Linked DNA regions of Arabidopsis thaliana. The protein of the gene in region 1 interacts with the protein of each later gene in a biochemical or structural test. Each region holds a gene or a part of one and is shown in the gene's direction. Other genes may lie near its edges.

What was found.
Region 2: the proteins of CAM1 (region 1) and AT5G62570 form a complex in vitro, tested with the Arabidopsis thaliana proteins (one study listed by BioGRID).
Region 3: the proteins of CAM1 (region 1) and NTL9 form a complex in vitro, tested with the Arabidopsis thaliana proteins (one study listed by BioGRID).
Region 4: the proteins of CAM1 (region 1) and GAD are reported together in a solved structure, tested with the Arabidopsis thaliana proteins (one study listed by BioGRID).

What each region holds. Positions count from the first base shown.
Region 1 is NC_003076.8:15,003,992-15,008,113, reverse strand, and holds CAM1 (calmodulin 1), read left to right. Parts: upstream 1-1,908; 5' UTR 1,909-1,996; coding exon 1,997-2,072; exon of another isoform or gene 2,073-2,184; coding exon of another isoform or gene 2,185-2,229; intron 2,230-2,689; coding exon 2,690-2,767; intron 2,768-2,971; coding exon 2,972-3,345; 3' UTR 3,346-3,587; downstream 3,588-4,122. UniProt on the Arabidopsis thaliana protein: Calmodulin mediates the control of a large number of enzymes, ion channels and other proteins by Ca(2+). Among the enzymes to be stimulated by the calmodulin-Ca(2+) complex are a number of protein kinases and phosphatases.
Region 2 is NC_003076.8:25,112,079-25,117,843, forward strand, and holds AT5G62570 (Calmodulin binding protein-like protein), read left to right. Parts: upstream 1-1,869; 5' UTR 1,870-1,886; coding exon of another isoform or gene 1,887-1,976; 5' UTR 1,977-1,991; coding exon of another isoform or gene 1,992-2,132; 5' UTR 2,133-2,283; coding exon 2,284-2,366; exon of another isoform or gene 2,367-2,855; coding exon of another isoform or gene 2,856-2,893; coding exon 2,894-2,972; intron 2,973-3,062; coding exon 3,063-3,115; intron 3,116-3,199; coding exon 3,200-3,684; intron 3,685-3,814; coding exon 3,815-3,975; coding exon of another isoform or gene 3,976-4,014; exon of another isoform or gene 4,015-4,059; intron 4,060-4,139; coding exon 4,140-4,346; coding exon of another isoform or gene 4,347-4,412; exon of another isoform or gene 4,413-4,427; coding exon 4,428-4,889; 3' UTR 4,890-5,236; downstream 5,237-5,765. Other genes in the region: AT5G62573 (uncharacterized protein), read right to left, coding at 1,887-1,976, 1,992-2,132; SDH7 (succinate dehydrogenase subunit), read left to right, coding at 5,464-5,523, 5,609-5,677. UniProt on the Arabidopsis thaliana protein: Transcription activator that binds DNA in a sequence-specific manner, likely 5'-GAAATTTTGG-3', to promote the expression of target genes.
Region 3 is NC_003075.7:16,887,905-16,892,827, reverse strand, and holds NTL9 (NAC transcription factor-like 9), read left to right. Parts: upstream 1-2,026; 5' UTR 2,027-2,083; coding exon 2,084-2,249; intron 2,250-2,367; coding exon 2,368-2,876; intron 2,877-2,952; coding exon 2,953-3,300; intron 3,301-3,452; coding exon 3,453-3,728; intron 3,729-3,822; coding exon 3,823-3,942; intron 3,943-4,108; coding exon 4,109-4,294; 3' UTR 4,295-4,423; downstream 4,424-4,923. Other genes in the region: HMGB5 (high mobility group B5), read left to right, coding at 4,644-4,690, 4,773-4,859. UniProt on the Arabidopsis thaliana protein: Transcriptional activator activated by proteolytic cleavage through regulated intramembrane proteolysis (RIP). Calmodulin-regulated transcriptional repressor. Binds several synthetic promoters with randomly selected binding sites.
Region 4 is NC_003076.8:5,709,131-5,715,595, forward strand, and holds GAD (glutamate decarboxylase), read left to right. Parts: upstream 1-1,779; 5' UTR 1,780-2,010; coding exon 2,011-2,096; intron 2,097-2,179; coding exon 2,180-2,384; intron 2,385-3,707; coding exon 3,708-3,908; intron 3,909-3,986; coding exon 3,987-4,201; intron 4,202-4,289; coding exon 4,290-4,543; intron 4,544-4,941; coding exon 4,942-4,994; intron 4,995-5,077; coding exon 5,078-5,253; intron 5,254-5,390; coding exon 5,391-5,709; 3' UTR 5,710-5,945; downstream 5,946-6,465. UniProt on the Arabidopsis thaliana protein: Catalyzes the conversion of glutamate to 4-aminobutanoate (GABA). The calmodulin-binding is calcium-dependent and it is proposed to directly or indirectly form a calcium regulated control of GABA biosynthesis.

The sequences.
Region 1 (4,122 bases):
AGGAAGTATTAAAAATTGCAATCGCTCAAGTCCTAATTGTTATTGTTGTTGAATTTGTGTTTCCTAAACCTATCAGGACTATGACTAGTATTTTCATTATATATAGACAGAACAAACTAAACCTTCTAAACATTCTATCACTTCAAATTAAATCGATCGACCATTAGTTCAACATATAGAGATGATATCAATGAATCGTCTATCGATTCTCCTTTTTGTTTTCGCCTTTGGTCTTACCATGATGAGTAACACAGCCTTATCGTACAAACATTCCGTGTGGATCAGAAACTTTCTTCATGAAAAAAACGATCTCATAATCCATTGCAAATCCACGAACCATGATATGGTATACCATAGGTTGCATCCAACAGGATCGTACCATCTGCTAGTTGATGATGATTCCGACTATTTTTGGTGTCATTTATGGCAAGGACCTAATTTCAAGCATCACCAAGTTTTTGGTGTTAACCATGGAGACGTATGGGAAGCTAGGGAAGACGGAATCTACTTCTCGCAGATAAAATATGCTCGAGATCTCCGTCAGCATGTGTTCATGTATGGGTGGAATGTTCCTTTGACCTTGTCAAGAGCTTCCTCGTTGGGATTGTGTTGTGTCTCTTTAAGCTTATTACTCTCTTCCTTGGTTTTGTTTTATTTTTATCTAGTTTTAGTTTTGAAATTTATTTTTTTTATTATGAATTTTAAAAATTTAATTTTTATTTGTGTTGGAATTTTTTTATTTTCTTTGTAACCTATATGAACTTGGATATTTTTTTTCTTTCTTACATTAATTAAGTACGTAAGTTTCGACAATCAAGAATAGGGTTTTGTTGATTCCAATCGTGTTACCCAAAAATTAGAATAAGGTTTGTCCAACAATTTATTAAATTTGGTCTTAGAGTTGTATACGAGCCTACGAGGTATCTTTTAGATATGCCGAAGAGATGGTAGTGCGAAGAAGAAAAGAAACCTCATTTTCCATGGTATTAAGGATTTCAAGCTATTCAAACTTTTGTAGTGACCCAAATACGTGTAGAACTGGCCCAAAGACAAATAGCTTAATTAAGATTATCACCTAATCTTAGGTATTGGTGATAGGTGATTCGCTCAAGCCTTATGATCAATATTAGCTCCATATTATGGAGAGTGAGCAGCACATACTCGTAGATAGAAAAGTATTGTTGCTCGAGTAATATTTTTCTGATGATAATTGTGTTTCGACCACTGTTGGCATCTTTCACACATGAATACATGATGTACATGTACGACATGCAATCTTTCTCTTAACGCTCGACTGCTGTCTGCTGTGATGGATCATCACAAGTAAACTTTGTGAAGCATATTTCGTGAGCCAAATGATGTTAGAAAACAATCGTGTGAGCCAAAGGCGTGAGAGCGCTTGTAGAAAGTGGTTTATGTTGTAGTTAAAATAATCCGAATATTCATCTTCCGGAAAAAAGTGAAGTTCAACCTCTCAACGGTACGTTTTTATACCTCAACTAAGTTACATTGTGTATATCAACATCAGCTAACTTTTTATTAATATTTCGGTTCACAATATCATTATCTTTTTCAAAATTTATTAAGATTTCTTTTGCTCATTTTATTTATGTGAATTTTAAAAATAAAATAATTTTTATAATATAGAAACAAAATATTACTAAAAGTAATTTTTAAAAAATAAATAAAATTAATGTCATATCAACGAAAAATTCATAGTTTATTAAAGTAGTAAATATAAAAGTAATAATATTTTAATTATTTTGGTATTAAATTATACACTTTTATTAATATATGTATTTTCTTCTAAAAATTAAAAATTAATTGGGTTTTTGTTTGGAATTTTTCCGACTTACCTTTTCTCCTTCTTTTTGTCGTTTTGCTTAGATATTTGTTTGCATCATTTTCAAAGAGAGACGACTCTGAATCCAAAAAAAAAAAAAACTCATTAAGTAAAGACAAAGGAAGAGAAGAAAGACGATTTCTCGAAGAAGCTATGGCGGATCAACTCACTGACGAACAGATCTCCGAATTCAAGGAAGCTTTTAGCCTCTTCGACAAAGATGGCGATGGTTAGATTACCTCTTCTTTTACGCCTTTGATGGTTACATTACTGGATCTCGGTTTTTTTTCCATTTTCGTCTTCTATCGATGATTTAGAACGGTGTATCTCGTCCTCCCGAGCTTTGAATATGTGTTTATTAGTCGCTAATCTCTTTAGATTCGGAGGTATTGACCTTGTCGTTTGATCTGTTTTTGATCTTTGACCGAGTAGTTTCGCTTTTTGATCTTCGATGGCTTTTTGTATATGATTGAATCGATTTAATAGCTTGCTTGTTGTCCTGTTTCGTTGATTTGCTAGCTTGGATCTGATTTATTTTTTCGTCTCTTACGTTTTGTTTGATTTTTCATCTTCCATGATTGTTTTGGTCGTATGTGTTTTCGAGTTTGCTCTTAGTTGATAAAGAATCTGCTATCTTTTTTTCTTCGAAGTTGTTAATTATCTGAGTTTTTTTTTGTGTTCTCAACAATTCTACCAAAGAATGGGAAAAAACTATGTGCTTAAATGTGATTTCGAATCTTTTAGAAGCTTTGATGGTTCTTCTTGATCTCTCTAGGTAGGTTTCAAGGTCATGTTGCTCAGATTTTCTCTTGATTTCTGAGTTGTTTGTTATACTAGTTGATGTAGTGTTTGTTCTCTCTGATCTAGGATTTGATTTCAAAAGATTATCAAATTGTTTGGAAACTACTCCTGAATTGTCTCATGGTTATATCCTGCTTATAGTAGCTCAATTTGTGTAGATTTGTTTGTTCACTCTTTAAGAGATAAGCAAAAGATGTTCATTCGCTTTTGCATCTATCATTGCTTTTACCCATGACAAAACTGCTTTATCATTGCTTCCATTGAGCATTTGAGTATAATATGTGATGGGTTCTAAAATGTAATGCTCTCTTAATTGTGGTTACACAGGTTGCATCACAACAAAAGAGCTGGGAACAGTTATGCGTTCACTAGGACAAAACCCAACAGAGGCTGAGCTCCAAGACATGATCAACGAGGTTGATGCAGATGGAAACGGCACTATCGACTTCCCCGAGTTCCTGAACCTGATGGCTAAGAAGATGAAAGACACTGACTCCGAGGAAGAGCTAAAAGAAGCCTTCAGGGTTTTCGACAAAGACCAGAACGGTTTCATCTCCGCTGCTGAGCTACGCCATGTGATGACCAATCTTGGTGAGAAGCTAACTGATGAAGAAGTGGAAGAGATGATCCGTGAGGCTGATGTTGATGGAGATGGTCAGATTAACTATGAAGAGTTTGTCAAGATTATGATGGCTAAGTGATTTGATAAAGGTGATGATGATGATGATGATGACCTTTTTATGCTTCTAGGAGTTTAACCAAAAACATTTGCATGATTGGTGGAGATATGCTTTTAAACAGACATAATTTGTTTTTCGTTCTTTTGATTTTCTGGTTTGTGACTTTTGTGTGTAATGGAAAATCAAGTAAGTTGGATTGAAACCGATGGGTTGGGTTTTTACTTTTTACCCACATTTTGTTGCTTTTTTGGTTTTACAAAAAAAGAAGAAGATAAGAAATAGAGATGAAAAATATGGCTTTAAGCTGAAAAAATTAAGTACTAGTTAAAATTATAGTTATATTAAAATGTTCTCTTTCTGATTTACTGTTTTAATCATTTGAGCCACTCGTCTGAACTGTACGTCTCTATACGTGTGTACGTTAGCCACAAAGAAAATGATTCGCGGGCAATCACTTCCAAATTTGTGTCTAATCAAACTTTTAATTTTCATACGACAAACAGAGGTCGCTGAAAATTTAGTTTTAAGTATAAAGTGCTTTTCTTTTGTCAATTAGTTTTAGTATAAAGTGCTTTAGTGTATTATTTATTTGGATACCAAGTTGAAAATTGATGTTGGACTAATAGGAAAATGACACATGTAAAAACACGAGGTTGGTATTATGCCATTGGCCACCATAAATTGTCGTGAAGTAGTAAATTTCAAGACAAGTTTTAAATTAAGATTTTGAACAATACATTCATATTTTTAGTAACTTGTTATTTATACTTAGACTATATAATTAAGTATTCGATCTAT
Region 2 (5,765 bases), about 10 Mb from region 1:
ATGTGATAAAAAAAAATTTCACTTGATGAGTAAAGCGAAATGTCAATCGGTTGTAAAGAGATGTATTTTCAGCTTGATGTGATTTATTAGTTGAATTGACTTATTGCAAATTAGAGAGATGCGTGGATGAAAACGAGCGTGTGATGGAGAGAATTAAGAAGTCAGACAGTTCGTGTGAAGATGTCAGAGGACAAAACTCTGAATTATTCTACTACAAAAACATTCCGTGTGATACTATGAGATCCAATAACTAAATTTTAAGTAACCAATCCTGTTTTATTGTCAAATTAAATGCAGGCAAGAGGCAGGCAAAATACTAAAAAAGAAGATTTTGTATGTTTTTTCTAGATATTGTAAATATTTGAATTGATCATAGATTCATAGGTCTCACATAACTGAGCACTTCTTCATATTCTTGCCCAGCCCAAGTATTGGTCTCATGGGCTATAAATTTTTGATGATTTTGGGAATATAAATTTCTAGAATTCTTTCATCTTTATAAGTAGTAGTATTGTTCATATGATTGTGGATTTTCGATTAATAAACAGCCAAAATTCAATTTGTACAATTAATGAATAGCCAAATATCAGCTTGAAACTTCTTTAAGACAAAACTGCTTAAGCGAAGATTGGTTATATATAGTTTATAACATCGTACGTAGATCAACGATCACGTATTCACATATATTTCCCAAGTGCAACACTGTATACTGATTCAGAGAATCTCTTTGAAGTTTGTTTTTGAATAATGATTTACGTGTTTGTGAAAACTCAACTATTTTAAAATGTTTAGTGGAGAGAGGGTTAGTGTGTACGATTTAAATATAAAAGAACTTGAGACAAACTCATTTTCTTTTACCCATTCTTCAAATCACGCGTTTATGTGTATGATTTGTGTTGGTACTGGAAAACGAGTATGTCAGCATCTTTGTTTAAGATGTGTATAATTAATTGGTGTAGAAGAAGCGTTTGTGTATATGTCACATAATTATTAAATCGCATTTTGCAGACGCTTTCAATATGATTTATCAGTAGATAAAGCTTAAAAACCGAGTTCTATGTGTGGTTAAAACAAAAATAGTAGTCAAAACTGAAAAACATATCATATCTGTTAGTTGGCACAGAATAATTATCACATCAAACATCGAAATGTTTTTTTTCGTTTGTCGACCCAATTGGAAGAACAATATCATAAGACAAGACCGTATGGCTGGGGCATAAGTTATTGTTATCCACAAGGTTCTTTTGTGACCAAGCTACTTGATTCATATCCATGTGACAAGAAGAACAAGGGTGAATTATGGATGATTGCTGTTTCCGCATGCTTGATGATTTCGTCAAACAGCCCTAATAATAGGTAAGAGTTAAAAAATTTTTGTTTTTATTTAAAATTCGAATGAATAAAAACCAAAATTCTTTAAGGATAAAATGAAAATAGCTTTAAGAAAATAAAAAACCCTTATTTTTATTTTTATTTTTAAAAACCCTCTTCTATGTATTTAATTGTTTAAGTACGTTTTCTGCTAACTCAAGATAAATAAATATTATTCTTAATTGTATAATTTTGTTTCATGATGTTGTGGATTCAATCAGTTGGTTTTATTTATAAACAAGAGAACTAGTAGTGAAGTGATGATTTCTTTAAGACAAGATTGAACATCTATGGCTTGTTAGATGAAACTAGTTGATCTTTAGTCCCTTATCCGCTATTATCCAACACCCTATACCCATAATGCTCAGACCAAGCAATGCTTCTCAGTTCTCAGTATTCGGAAGCTATGTTCTAAACTTTGAAATTTGATAAATGTACTTGAAAAAAGATTTAGGTACGGTCTAAACTTGTCTCTGTTTTAGTAGTTAGAAGAAGAAGCACACACAACATATAAATTAGGGGTTCCTCGTCACTAACGCGGTTTCGGTGGGTCCCACAACACCCAACACTGAGAAAGAAACACCATTCTTCTCCGTGTTCTGTCTCTATCTGCTAATTACCACAAAGAAGAACTTGCAAATCCCTTCTCTTTTGTTCAAGTCGTACGACAGAGCCTTTGAAAGAAAGAACTGGTGGGGAAGCGTTAAGCTACAGATAACTCCAAGATACGGGTCTTTGTTTGTTTTGAAGATCAGATTCATTTTACGATAATTCCGTTACTCGTTATTGTGTATATATATCTCTTTCCCGGAAATTTCGGTTCTTGTTGTACAAAAACTCCAAAAAAACGCATAAAAAATATTCTGTAAATGGTTGAAATTCTCTGGGAATTTCAACGGGTCTTGTGGTATCATGTCACAGAAGAGAGAGTTTGAAGAAGGGAAAGGTCGAATTGAGGGCGGCTCATCCGAAGACAAGCGTAGAAGATTCAAAAGGTATAAATTTTGTTTCAGCTTCTAGGGTTTACGATGTTGTTGTAGCTTGAATCAGTCTTCGATAGTTCGATTCATTCAATTGGGTTTATGTATTAGCTAATAAGGATGAATTCGAGTCTAAAAGTTGTGATCTATATGTTGGAACAAGTATAAATAGTGAAGTGATCGTTTCGTTAGGATAAAATTGAGCTTCTATGATTAGGTTTTGACACGATTTTCTATAGCTTGCGGAGTTCTTTAGATGATCACTGTCTTGTCGTGGAATTAATAAAAAGGTTTAGTTTTGTTTATAATCAAAGAGTGATACTTCTTGGGAAGATAAAATTCTATTGACACACAAAAGTACTCATACTAGATAGTATGACACCACGTAGTCACCATGGTTGGATTCCTTAATAAGAAGCTTTATTTGTTTTTCCCAGTCACTTACTGTTGACAAATCAACAATGTTTATGAAGTTCAGATTTTCTAAATTGATTTTTAGTGTTAATGAGAATTCCTACATATGACTTTGGATCAAAATTTAGTGTGGTTCAGGAGGTAATGAGATTACAAACCGTCAAACATTTTCTCGAACCTGTTCTCGAGCCCTTAATTCGTAAAGTGGTACGTATCTCGTTGATATAATATAGTACCCTTCTCTCCTAGTATTGTGTGTTTATTTTAGCAGTAATTTATGAGTATCCCTTGGAACAGGTCAAAGAAGAAGTTGAATTAGCTCTTGGAAAGCATCTAGCAGGCATCAAGTGGTAAAACTATTTTTCAAGATCAACATTAGATTTTTCAGGCTGTTCTGTAATAAATAATTTCTTCCCATGTTCATCTTTGTTCAGGATTTGTGAGAAAGAGACTCATCCTTTGGAATCAAGGAATCTACAGTTAAAGTTCTTGAACAATCTATCGCTTCCCGTGTTTACTTCAGCTCGGATAGAAGGAGATGAAGGCCAAGCTATAAGAGTTGGATTAATAGACCCTTCAACTGGCCAAATTTTCTCTTCTGGTCCTGCATCATCCGCCAAACTCGAAGTTTTTGTCGTTGAGGGTGATTTTAACAGTGTTAGTGATTGGACTGATGAGGATATCAGGAATAACATTGTAAGAGAGAGAGAAGGAAAGAAACCTCTACTCAATGGGAATGTATTTGCGGTTCTTAATGATGGCATTGGTGTTATGGATGAAATCTCATTTACAGATAACTCTAGCTGGACTAGGAGCAGGAAGTTCAGACTCGGGGTACGAATAGTGGATCAGTTTGATTATGTCAAAATTAGAGAGGCAATAACAGAGTCCTTTGTCGTAAGAGATCATCGAGGAGAGTGTAAGTATTGCTTGTTAGTTTATTCTCTCACATTGAGTATCATTGAACCAATTTACTTTCCTGTTCTCATATTTTCTGTAAATTAAAAGAAGTTGTTTCTTTCTTATGACTCTTTCTCTCTTATTTGTAGTGTACAAAAAGCATCATCCTCCTTCTCTTTTCGATGAAGTATGGAGATTGGAAAAGATAGGGAAAGATGGAGCATTTCACAGACGACTGAATTTGTCAAATATAAACACTGTCAAGGATTTCTTAACACATTTCCATTTAAACTCTTCAAAACTCCGACAAGTAAGATTCGTCTTCCTTACTCTGTGCCTATGTGACTAAGGCTTCTGTGGTGGGCGTGAATCTTTTGTGTCACCAGTAATAATGGTTTGTGATTGATTCTCACCTGGTGAGAAATACACAGTTTTAACTTGTCTACATGTAATGATGATTGATGTTCCTTGCAGGTTCTTGGTACGGGTATGTCTTCAAAGATGTGGGAAATTACTTTGGACCATGCTCGATCATGTGTTCTAGATAGTAGCGTCCATGTGTACCAAGCTCCTGGATTTCAGAAGAAAACAGCTGTTGTCTTCAACGTCGTAGCTCAAGTGCTTGGACTGCTCGTGGATTTTCAGTATATTCCTGCTGAAAAGTTATCAGAGATTGAAAAGGCACTGATCCTCTCTGTCTACATATTTGACTTGGTTTCTCTTCTACATACTCTCAGGTTTACATAAATTTTCTGATTTCAGGCTCAAGCGGAGGTGATGGTAATTGATGCATTGAGTCACCTAAATGAAGTAATCTCGTATGATGATGAGGTTTCCATGATGAGGAACGTTCTCAATGCCCCGGCTTCTCAAGGCAGTGTTGCCGGGATTGATTATTCGGGTCTGAGTTTGACCAGTTTGGACGGATACGGTTTTGTGTCAAGTCTTCACAACACAGCAGAATGTAGTGGCAAGCACAGTGATGATGTTGACATGGAAGTTACTCCACATGGTTTATATGAAGACTACGACAATCTCTGGAACTGCTCTCACATTCTAGGCTTAGAAGAACCGCAATCTGAGTTGCAGAGTGCGCTTGACGATTTCATGTCACAGAAGAATGCTTCGGTCGGTGGTAAGGCTCACAGCAAAAGATGGACAAAGCTTTTCAGTGTCTCGAGATGGCTCTCTGTTTTCAAGTATGTCAAGTTAGGAAAAATATAAAATGAGTTTAGTACACAAAAGAACAAAACGACTCGCTGCGCCGCGCCCTGGACAGATTCGTGTATATATATACTCGGGGAAAGCTTGGGTTTCTGATGATCCAGAGGCGTTCAAAAGTGTTTTCTTTCTTCTTCTTCTTCTGGTTGTCTCCATCTTTGTGTTAAAGATGTGAATATATGTTTTAGGACAGCTTCATTTTTGTTGAAAGCTTAAAAAACAGGGTCTTTTATAATCTCTGTGATTAGTACCAAATTGCAGATTTGCAGAACTACGTTTTTCTTGGTTTGTCAGGTAATGTGAAACTGAATAAAATGAATATTATTTGAATCAACTGAGATTTTACATTATCTTCTAGAGTTTTGTGTTTGAGATTCAAAGAACACTAGACTGAGTATGAAGATTTTGGGTGAGTAAAAACAATCAGGGTGATAATTTATCATACAATAGTTTTGGGGTCAAAATGGAATAATTCTAGAGTATAGAGCCCATGTTGAAAAGCTCGAAAATTCTTTCCAATTCCAGAAGAAAAGGTTTTGCTGTTTCCCTGTGAGCGATCTTCGATACTCGTCTGGGCATGGCGTTTTTGCTCAACAACGCTTCAATTTCATCTCATTTACGCTCGTCTTCTTCACAGGTTTGGATCAAATCTTGTTAATCGATTATTGTTGGAATTTTGTTTGATTTTTGTGACAATTTTTTCCCTTACGAAATTTTTGAAGAAGACGGGTGATGCTTTATCAATATCGCGTCGTGGATTCCACATTGAGCCAGGAACTCGAGAGAAAGCTGTAAGTTAATCTCTGTTTCTGTTCGAGTCCTGGATCATTTTGGACTCAGTTTTTGTGGAATTTTCTGCATCTATTGTGATTTGAAGAT
Region 3 (4,923 bases), on another chromosome or scaffold:
AGTGGGAAGCGGGTTGCACCGAACCAAGCCCATGTAGCTAAACACTCACACGCGCGACGCATGTCTGAAAAGTGGTAATTGAATTTTGTTTAGAATGATTCTACAGAGGTTGAATTTGGTAAATGAATCAGAGGAATATTAAGCATTTGAGCATAATTTCCAATTTGGTCAGATTATGATATATGTAAATATGTCCATGATTCATTTTCTGTTTTTGGGTTCTCTTTGTTCATTTATTAAGTCATGGGCTGAAGTTTTCATATTTTAAGTCATGGGCTGAGTTCTCAAGGACTAAAACTGGTATTGATATTATGATCTGTTAAAAGCCAATTCATTTAAGGTGTTCAAAATCTAAACTGAATAATTGCGTTAAATTAAGCCGGACATGTTTCAATCAAAAGTCAATAGAATGTGTCAAAATACTCTGGGTACTTGGGTAGTATTAGTAACATTAACTTACAAGGATTTTTCTCTATATAAAAATACAGAGTACTAGTTTTGATTTTATCTGAGTGAGAACTTTCTAATAAAACTCTAATCGAAAACAATTAATATTTTGTATAAAATGGAGTGTAGAACCTAAATATTTTGTATTGCTTGGATATATAGTTTTTTTTCTTCTTAACATGGATATATAAGTTCTATTTCGTACATATTTCCCCTAATTTTAATGTTGAATTTTGGAAAACTTTTGTTGGATAGTGACATGAAGACCCTAATTTTAATCATAACATTTTGGAAAACTTGATTGGGTGAGTGATATGGAGGTGATGTTAACGTATGTTTGGTATCAATAGTTGGTCCAATTAGGCCCAAAGAGTCAAAAAAGGTGCCCAAGTGTTGTCAAAAGAGAAAACAATTAAGAATAGGGCAAAGCTTGGCCAGCAAGATTTAGTGGTCATTTCCTAGAAACGTGTCCAAGAATTTATAAAGATGGGTTGTCTTATAAATACATATCGTTCACGTAATTACCTGAGATCAAATCTTAATCATATCATTCATCGTATATAGACTCCAAACACGTTTTTCAAACTCCTATGATCATGTGTTCTCTCTTTGCCTCCGTCTTTGATTGCTTTGTTCCAAAATCAGACTCAAAGATTAGCTCAACTGATGAGAGTGACTTGAAAGTCCTGTCCTCAAAGAAACCAAAAAGCAAATCCCCGAGAGCTCCGATTATGGTGTCTTACTTTCCCGCCGGTTCAAACCTTTCGCGTCTATAAGTGCCAAATAGAAGAGAAGAGAAGATGAAGTATTGGGATGTTGATTTTGATATAAACGAAAGAAGTTTTTGGTTGTAGACATGTTGTATGCGCAGGCTTTAATTTTATGTTTTATTTAATTATGTACAAATAGACCATTTAGATTGATAGCATCATATATATGCTTTGTATTTAAGACCAAATAAAAGATTAATGTTTATATACATGCGTAAAAATGTTAAGAGCTTAGTTAGTATCATTTTCAAAAACTGATTGTCACTTGAGCTTTTATTTTTCTTATTTTTTTAATTAAGAAAAGTTGTGGCCCTCAAAAAGTTACATGGAATCGGAACAGGAAAAAAAAAATGTCGAAAACTGATTAATCTAGGCAACGTTATCGCATTTTCATATCTTACAAATCCCTTTTTCAATTCAGATTTGGTAGAAATGCAAGGAGAGTTCCATAGTGTATATGTAAAATTTGTATAAAACGTCTAGAAGAATTACAATGCTGAATTTGTTGGAAGCTCTGTTTTTCTCTGCTTAGACGTTTCCAACGTGTTTTGGGTTTCTCTGATCACTGTAAAGCCTAAACCACAAGAGAAGAAAAACCACGAAGCTTTGGGCTTTAAGGCCTTTTTGGGCCCTAGCCACAATAATGGAAGCCTATCAAGAAAAGACAAGACAAGACAATAAGACAGAAGAGGACAAGTGTTTAAAGTGGAAGTTATCTTTCTCACGTGGTCTAAAGAAAGGTTAAAAAAAAAGAGGGAAAAAAAAAAGAAGATGAGAGAAAGCAAAGTGTTGAAGACTTTTTAGAAAGCAGAAAAAAAAGCAGAGAGTGTATTCAAAGTCGGAAAGAAACCCTAAAGAAGAGGATTATGGGTGCTGTATCGATGGAGTCGCTTCCTTTAGGTTTCAGATTCAGACCTACCGATGAAGAGCTCGTCAATCACTACCTCCGTCTCAAGATCAACGGACGTCACTCCGATGTCCGTGTCATCCCTGATATCGATGTCTGCAAATGGGAACCTTGGGATCTTCCTGGTTCGTCTCTTTATTCTCTCAAAATTTGATTCCTTTTATTCTCAGATTCTGTTTTCCCTCTCAAAGATTCCACCTTTTTTTTCTTTACTCAATTGGAAACAAATCTGATTGTCGGCAGCTCTCTCGGTGATTAAGACGGATGATCCAGAGTGGTTCTTTTTCTGCCCTCGTGATCGGAAATACCCTAATGGTCATCGCTCTAACAGAGCAACTGACTCTGGCTATTGGAAAGCTACTGGTAAAGATCGTAGCATCAAGTCTAAGAAGACTTTAATCGGTATGAAGAAGACTCTTGTCTTCTATCGTGGACGAGCTCCTAAAGGTGAGCGGACTAATTGGATTATGCACGAGTATCGTCCCACTCTTAAGGATCTTGATGGCACTTCCCCTGGCCAAAGCCCTTACGTTCTTTGTCGCCTCTTCCACAAGCCTGATGATCGGGTTAATGGTGTCAAGTCCGATGAAGCAGCTTTTACGGCCAGCAACAAATACTCACCTGATGATACATCATCTGATCTTGTTCAAGAAACACCTTCCTCTGATGCTGCTGTTGAGAAACCATCAGATTATTCAGGTGGATGCGGTTATGCTCATAGTAATAGTACCGCAGATGGGACAATGATTGAGGTATGAATGGAAACTCTTGAATAATTAATTAGGCTTTTTTGAGTGACTTGACTAATTTTGAGTTTTGTGTTCATAGGCACCTGAAGAGAATCTTTGGTTATCTTGTGACCTTGAAGATCAAAAGGCACCACTACCGTGTATGGATTCTATATATGCTGGTGATTTCAGTTACGATGAGATTGGATTCCAATTTCAAGATGGTACCAGCGAACCAGATGTATCACTAACAGAATTGTTGGAGGAGGTGTTCAATAACCCTGATGACTTCTCTTGCGAGGAATCGATCAGTCGAGAGAATCCAGCAGTCTCACCAAATGGGATATTTTCATCTGCTAAAATGCTGCAGTCTGCAGCACCAGAGGATGCTTTCTTCAACGACTTCATGGCTTTCACTGATACAGATGCTGAGATGGCGCAATTGCAGGTGAGCACAAAGATACATATTTTGAGGCCTATACAATTTTAGAAGTATCCAAATTATTTTGCTTTAAGTAGGCTAGAAACCTCTAGATCAGTTATCTTTACAATCACTCTTGACATAAGTAAAATGACAATTTTTATCTTTTGTTTGATCAGTATGGTTCAGAAGGTGGAGCTTCTGGTTGGCCAAGTGACACTAATTCATACTATAGTGATTTGGTTCAGCAAGAGCAAATGATCAATCATAACACAGAGAACAACCTCACAGAAGGGAGAGGGATAAAGATCCGGGCTCGACAGCCTCAGAACCGGCAGAGTACAGGATTGATAAACCAGGGTATTGCTCCAAGGAGAATCCGTCTGCAGCTGCAGTCTAACTCTGAAGTAAAAGAACGAGAGGAGGTGAATGAAGGACACACTGTTATTCCCGAGGTACGAGACTAGTGATTCCAAAAGTTGTGTCTTAGACATCAATAACATAAAGGATGCATCTTTTTAATTTGTTGTTAATGGTGGGGATGTGCAGGCCAAAGAAGCTGCAGCTAAATACTCAGAGAAGAGTGGTTCTTTGGTTAAACCTCAAATAAAGCTCAGGGCGCGGGGAACTATAGGCCAAGTAAAAGGAGAGAGATTTGCAGACGACGAGGTAAGAATGAGTGAACTTGTTTACACATGAATGAAGAAAGAGTATAGTAGTAAGCTCTACTAAATACTATAGAATTAGAAAGAAAAAAAAGAGAAAGCAATCAGTAGAGCATGTGAGATCAGCTAGTAATGATAAAAGAAACTGAGAAGTATCTTTGTCTAAAGAGAAGTTTGTTGTGGTTACAGGTACAGGTGCAGAGCAGAAAGAGACGAGGAGGGAAGCGATGGAAGGTGGTTGCAACGGTAATGGTGGCTGTGATGGTTGGGGTAGGGATGGGTATATGGAGGACACTGGTGAGTTCATGACACATGAGACACAAAGAGAGAGAGAGAGAGAATCAAATGTAGTTTAATGTAATTAGGGATGATGCAATGTTAGCATGTTTGTGTGTTGTAACTTAAAAACTTATTTAGGAATCTGATAAAAGTTACTGTTGAATTTACACGGATGGTCAAGATTAAATGTACCAACATCTTAATTATCTACGGTCAAGATTAAAAATACCAACATCTTAAATTAACACCGCATCAAAGAATTATCTCAATCGTCGTCTCTCCCCAATTCAAAAAAAGAAATAACCTAAACGTGTTCACACAGAGGTAAGCTCGCTCCTACTCGCCGCCTCATCTGAGTCAACTCCGAGTCAGCTATTTTTCCCCACCGGATTCTCACTTTTGTTCCTCTCTGTGACAGATCTCGAGATGAAAGATAACCAAACGGAAGTTGAATCGAGGAGCACTGATGATAGGTATCTTTATATTTATCCGTAATCTCGATTCTTAGATTCAATTTGTTTCCGTAGTTTTGAAATCGTCTTTTATGATTCTCAGATTGAAAGTTAGAGGGAACAAAGTTGGAAAGAAAACAAAGGATCCAAACAGGCCTAAGAAACCACCAAGTCCTTTCTTCGTCTTCCTGTAAATAAAAATCACTAATCTCTCTTCTTCTTTTTTCTTCACTAATTTGATTACAGTAATTAAT
Region 4 (6,465 bases), 9.3 Mb from region 1:
TTACTGATCCATTTGAAATAGCAGAATATGAAATCAAATTAATTTTATTGAGATGGAAGCTAATGAACTATTAAATATGAAGAATTTGAAATCCTTTACCTTTTGCTTATGTGATATTACCAAGCTATGATGTGAGTTTGTATGTGATATCATGTTTTATATGTAATATTTCGAAAACAAATATATAAACAAATAAAGAGAAGCAAATGAAACAAAACTTTGGCTTTTTTATATATCATTTGTCATTTATCATTTACAAACCTAAAAGTCAAAGATAAACCAAAGGATACCCTGATTTGTTAATGTTATGATATTTGAGCAAAACTGTGGAGTATAATATATTATAACTCATTGAATATAACCACATAGTCATAACAAATCAAAATAAAATAAAAGTTTCCAAAACGTAGTCATAACAAATAACAAAATTATTTAAAGGTTTTCAATTTTTACAAGATAAAGTATATTAAAAATGATAAAATAGAATAATATGTAACTTTGTTAACATCTTGGAAAAAATAGAAAATTTAATATGAAGTTGTGTCTACGAATTCTATTTATGTTCTAGTTATTGTACATATTCAAATTAACGATGCTAAATCATTCTTCTGATATTGAGTTGTGTCACATGTTAAGTATATTTATTTTAATTTTCTTAGTATCATAATGTTTTCTTTCTTGTATGATTAGGTGCACATGGAATATATGTCATACTATTTTAAAATTCATATTTTATTAATTCTTTTGTCATAGCTAGCCATCATATATAGGTAGACCAGTATATAATAGAAAAAAAGAACACATTCAAATGATTTTGATTTCTTCTAACACTAGATTAATCTTAACTTCACCTTTTTTTTTGTCACAGTTAACATCTTATATAACTTCATTTCAAATGTCTATATTTTTTAATGTCTACATAAATATACATTTCATCACACGATTTACAATATGAATACATGTTTATAAGCTTTTAGATCATGGAATATAAAATAGTGCACTTTTTAATTATGTCGATATAGTCTTTGATTTTTAAAAAATTAAAGATGAAAAATTAGAAAATTATGTGATGCATTAGGACTCAATAATAGAGACTATACATAATAACAATTGCAGTTAGTTCTTAGTTGGATATAATAGGTCAGTAAAATATATTATTACAAACATCAACTCTGCACTACGCAAGATGTAGTAAATTACGAAAATATATGATAAACAAATTCGCATACTACATTATGACTACAATAGCCACCTTCCCTATACATTATGACTTCTAACATTGAAAAAATTTGCAAACATTTGGTGTAAATTAACAAATTAAAAACATTTGGTCTAATGTATGAAGAAAAAACTAGATATTCCGCTAATTTAAACAAACATTTGGCCTTATAAGAAATTTTAGGTAAGAAAAAATTCTGAGAAGTCTTTTTTATTCACATCACATAGTCAATATTCAATTCAATGCATATAAATTTCATGTAAAGCTTCTTTTTTCCTCGGATCCCATTCATTATTTTACTTACCATTGAATACTTTCACCGTGTAGTCTTTTTTTAGAAATCGTTGAATATCAAAAACAAGAAGAAGAAAAAGAAACCGTGTTTTCAATGTGCTGTCATACGATTCATGACCCTTTATGAATCTAATACAGAGTTTGAAACATAAACTAAACTTGGAAGTTTGCCAAAAAAAAAAAAAAAAAAAAAACTTGGAAATAACACTTCTCAAAAAGATATTGGGTCAAAGTCTAAAACTGAAAACGAAACTAGAGGCATTATTCTCTAATTCAAACAAAGTTTAGGGCTTGGGAAGAAATATTCACAAAAAGGAAGTTTCCGAAAATTCTTTTATATTATTCCCCAAGCAAACCATTCAATATCATTGATTATTGATATAAAACCCATATAAAGGTGTCTCTCATCATCCTCCATTCCCATACATCACTTTCCTCGATCTCACTTTCTCTCTCTTATCATCATCTCCTGGTATTCTCTCTCTCTCATCTCCGTGATGGTGCTCTCCCACGCCGTATCGGAGTCGGACGTCTCCGTCCACTCCACATTCGCATCACGTTACGTCCGTACTTCACTTCCTAGGTACAAAAAATATAACACAATCTTGATCACATTATACTTCTATATTTTCGATAAAAATGGAGGGCTAAAAACGTAGATATCAGGTTCAAGATGCCGGAAAACTCGATTCCTAAGGAAGCGGCGTATCAGATCATCAACGACGAGCTGATGCTTGACGGGAATCCACGGTTGAACTTAGCCTCCTTTGTGACGACATGGATGGAGCCTGAGTGTGATAAACTCATCATGTCCTCCATCAACAAGAACTATGTTGACATGGACGAGTACCCCGTCACCACCGAACTTCAGGTATATATAGTTCTAAGTCATGACTTTTTGAAAACGAGATTTAATCATAACTATATATATCGGCTTATGTATGGAGAAAAATGTTTATAGAATCTTTAGATTGTTTTTTTCCAAACGACTTTGTGATAGAATGTGGTCGAGTTATGATAAACTCAAATGTTTGAATGACCCGGCCATTCATATTCTGGATCGAGATTATAGACCATTATTAATCAGTATGATTCATAATTAAGATGCTTTGTTATTCAAAAAGAAAACTTTTCTTTTAATCTTTTTCTATGTGTATAAGTATATATATATATATATATATATATATATATATATATATATATATATATATATGTATGCCAACGTTGTTGATTTTCTTGTATGGTTGTGTTGATCGGGTAATCGACTTTGGGTGATTTTGAATAATATAGTATTAGAGGGTATAATTTAATACTACTTTATTTCCGTTTACGTAGTACAGTTTGTTTTTGGGGGAGGTTGGATCTCGGAAATACTAGCCGGTGACTTATGAGGGTCTTTTTAAAGTCTTAAGGTTGTCAATAATTTGCACAAAAAAAAAGGTTCTTATTAACAAAAAAAAAAAACTTAGTTTCTTAAAAATATTTGATACTGTTATTAGTTTGAATCATTCATTAATAAGATGCTTTATCATGGAATCTGATTTCCATGCGTATTTAAATGGACACCTACTATGTTGACTTTTTCAATGGTGTGTGACTGTGTTGATCAAATTTAGGATAATATGGACTATGCTATAGTAATTAGGGGGAATATTTGTACTACCTTATTTCCGCAAATACCATCCATTGTAGTTGAGTTATTTTGTGAGGACTTCCTTTAATCTTAATAATTGGTCCTACAGTACTAATATGCGAATTGATAGCTAGATACTTTTAACTAATGATATATTTTTATTGGGCCATAACGGAAATAAAAGGAAGACAATATGAAATATCGGTTATGGTTTGAAATTATTAGATTTCTCGTGTTTCAAATTAAAAACTTAAAAAATGACCTAATTTTCTAGCATATTTTTTTTTTTTGCCAACTAGTATCTGATCGTAATTATTTACATCAAAAGCTAAAACATGATACCATGTTGGATTATAGAATAGTATTGTTTATGAGTCTTATGACAATAGGACTTATCTCCACGACTTAGTGTGTGCATTAATCTTAGTTTTGCTTTCACATCTGTCACATTGTTTATTGTCCACTAAGAATATTGTATTAAGCATCAATCTCGATGTCAGAAAATGATTAGTCAAGTGGGTTTCACTAATTTATTCTTTTTGTTTTAATATTAAAAAACAGAACCGATGTGTGAACATGATTGCACATCTATTCAATGCACCGTTAGAAGAGGCGGAGACCGCCGTCGGAGTAGGAACCGTTGGATCATCGGAGGCCATAATGTTGGCCGGTTTGGCCTTCAAGCGTAAATGGCAGAACAAGCGCAAAGCTGAAGGCAAACCCGTCGATAAACCCAACATTGTCACCGGAGCCAATGTTCAAGTAACGTTTTCTAAATAAAAGATGCTTACTAAACATAATCTTTTTGATCAATTTTCTTATAACGATTCAAATGTTTAGGTGTGTTGGGAGAAATTCGCTAGGTACTTTGAGGTTGAACTTAAGGAAGTGAAATTGAGTGAAGGATACTATGTGATGGACCCTCAACAAGCTGTTGATATGGTTGATGAGAACACCATTTGTGTTGCGGCCATTCTTGGTTCCACTCTTAATGGAGAATTCGAAGATGTTAAACTCTTGAACGATCTCTTGGTCGAAAAGAACAAAGAAACCGGGTAATTACTTAATGGATTGTCTACATGATTACACTATACGATAAAGAATATTTAAGTTAATTAAAACAACTATGCATGTTTTTGATAGATGGGATACACCAATCCACGTGGATGCGGCAAGTGGAGGATTCATTGCACCGTTTTTGTATCCGGAATTGGAATGGGACTTTAGACTTCCCTTGGTGAAGAGTATCAATGTGAGTGGTCACAAGTATGGACTTGTGTACGCAGGGATTGGTTGGGTGATCTGGAGAAACAAAGAGGATTTGCCTGAGGAACTCATCTTCCATATCAATTATCTTGGTGCTGACCAACCCACCTTTACTCTCAATTTCTCCAAAGGTAACTAATATTTTTTTAATTATTATTTTTCTTTGTAGCTTGTCTTAATCTTTTGTGTTCGACTTTTCATTATTAGTCATGATCTAAAGTAGTCTAACCATCAAAGTGATGGAGATCAAATTGCTTTCCATTTTAAAATACGGAAACGACACCGTTTTTTAATTCGTAGTAGTGTAGTAATTGATCAATCACTATGATTAGATTAAGCAATTGTGGGAAACTTCACGTAAATTATTTCCACTTTTTGTTTTTTCCAATTTGTTTGACTTTAGTTTAAGAAATCGGTAGTAAATTATAAAATCAAAGGGATGGGAGGTCAAATTTGTTTCCATATTAAAATTGGGGAAAACATAATTAAACGTTGTCGTATTCAAAAAGTCTTCTGTCAATAAACGCAGGTTCAAGTCAAGTCATTGCTCAATACTACCAACTTATCCGATTGGGCCACGAGGTAAGTCAGTCCACGATTATATAAATTTATTAATCAAGCTAATTAATTAGACATTACTTTAACAATAAAAATGTATCAAACAGGGTTACAGAAATGTGATGGAGAATTGCAGAGAGAATATGATCGTCCTAAGGGAAGGACTTGAGAAGACAGAAAGGTTCAACATCGTCTCAAAGGACGAGGGAGTGCCACTTGTCGCTTTCTCCTTGAAAGATAGCAGCTGTCACACTGAGTTCGAAATCTCCGACATGCTTCGCAGGTTAGTTAGTTGTCTTAACTAAAAAGATTTCAAATACTCTTTTCTTATTTAAACTTTGGTTAAAGATTCATAAAATAAGTAGATATTTAATGACTATGTATATGTAATTAATTACTCTATAAATATTTGATATGTAGGTATGGATGGATAGTGCCGGCCTACACAATGCCTCCAAATGCACAACACATCACTGTTCTTCGTGTGGTTATCAGAGAAGATTTCTCGAGAACACTCGCTGAGAGACTTGTGATCGATATAGAGAAAGTGATGCGTGAGCTCGATGAGCTTCCTTCGAGAGTGATTCACAAAATATCACTTGGACAAGAGAAGAGTGAATCTAACAGCGATAACTTGATGGTCACGGTGAAGAAGAGCGATATCGACAAGCAGAGAGATATCATCACTGGCTGGAAGAAGTTTGTCGCCGACAGGAAGAAGACGAGTGGTATCTGCTAATCGAAATATATTTACTTCAAATGTTTGAAGACTTTTATTAATAATGCATAATTGCATTGATTTGGATATTTGAATGTTTCATTCCCCTTTATCGCTGAACCAAGTTTCATTTCCCTTTATTGCTGAAGTAAGTTTCATTTCCCTTTATTACTGAACCAAGTTTCATTTGACTTTGATTTGTAATATCTTTTGATATTATTATTATTGCCGTATTTTTAAATACGTTTATCTGTTTTTTTTTTTTTGTTCCTTGTGCATCATCCATTATACATAGGATTAAGAGATCTAGTAGAACCTCCTTGGATAGCGCAATGTTGTTTAACGTAATAGTTGTTGAAATGATTACTGAATGATCCCAAATTTTGGATTAGTTCATTATTAAAAAATGAAAATAATTTTGCAAGATTAACTAGTAAGGTTTGTTTTGCATATAAATATGTTGTTAGGATTGTAAACTCAAACGTGTAAAGGTCGCATAAATCGAGATCACGATATCACTCGTCTCTGGCAAGGTAGGTTGGGAACGTATTTGCTCTAAAGCTATAGCCATCTTGTAAATAGATAGACATGTATTCTAAAATGTAAATTTTTTAAAATATAACAAACTAATTTTAATTTTATTCTAAGTTTTCTTTTCTTTTTCTTATGTGGTATGAGATCTGTACCAAATTGCGTAAATGTAAGCATGATAACAAATAACAATGCACAAAATTTAATAAATAAAAAGCACTGATATCTTTATTAAGAAAGAAAAAC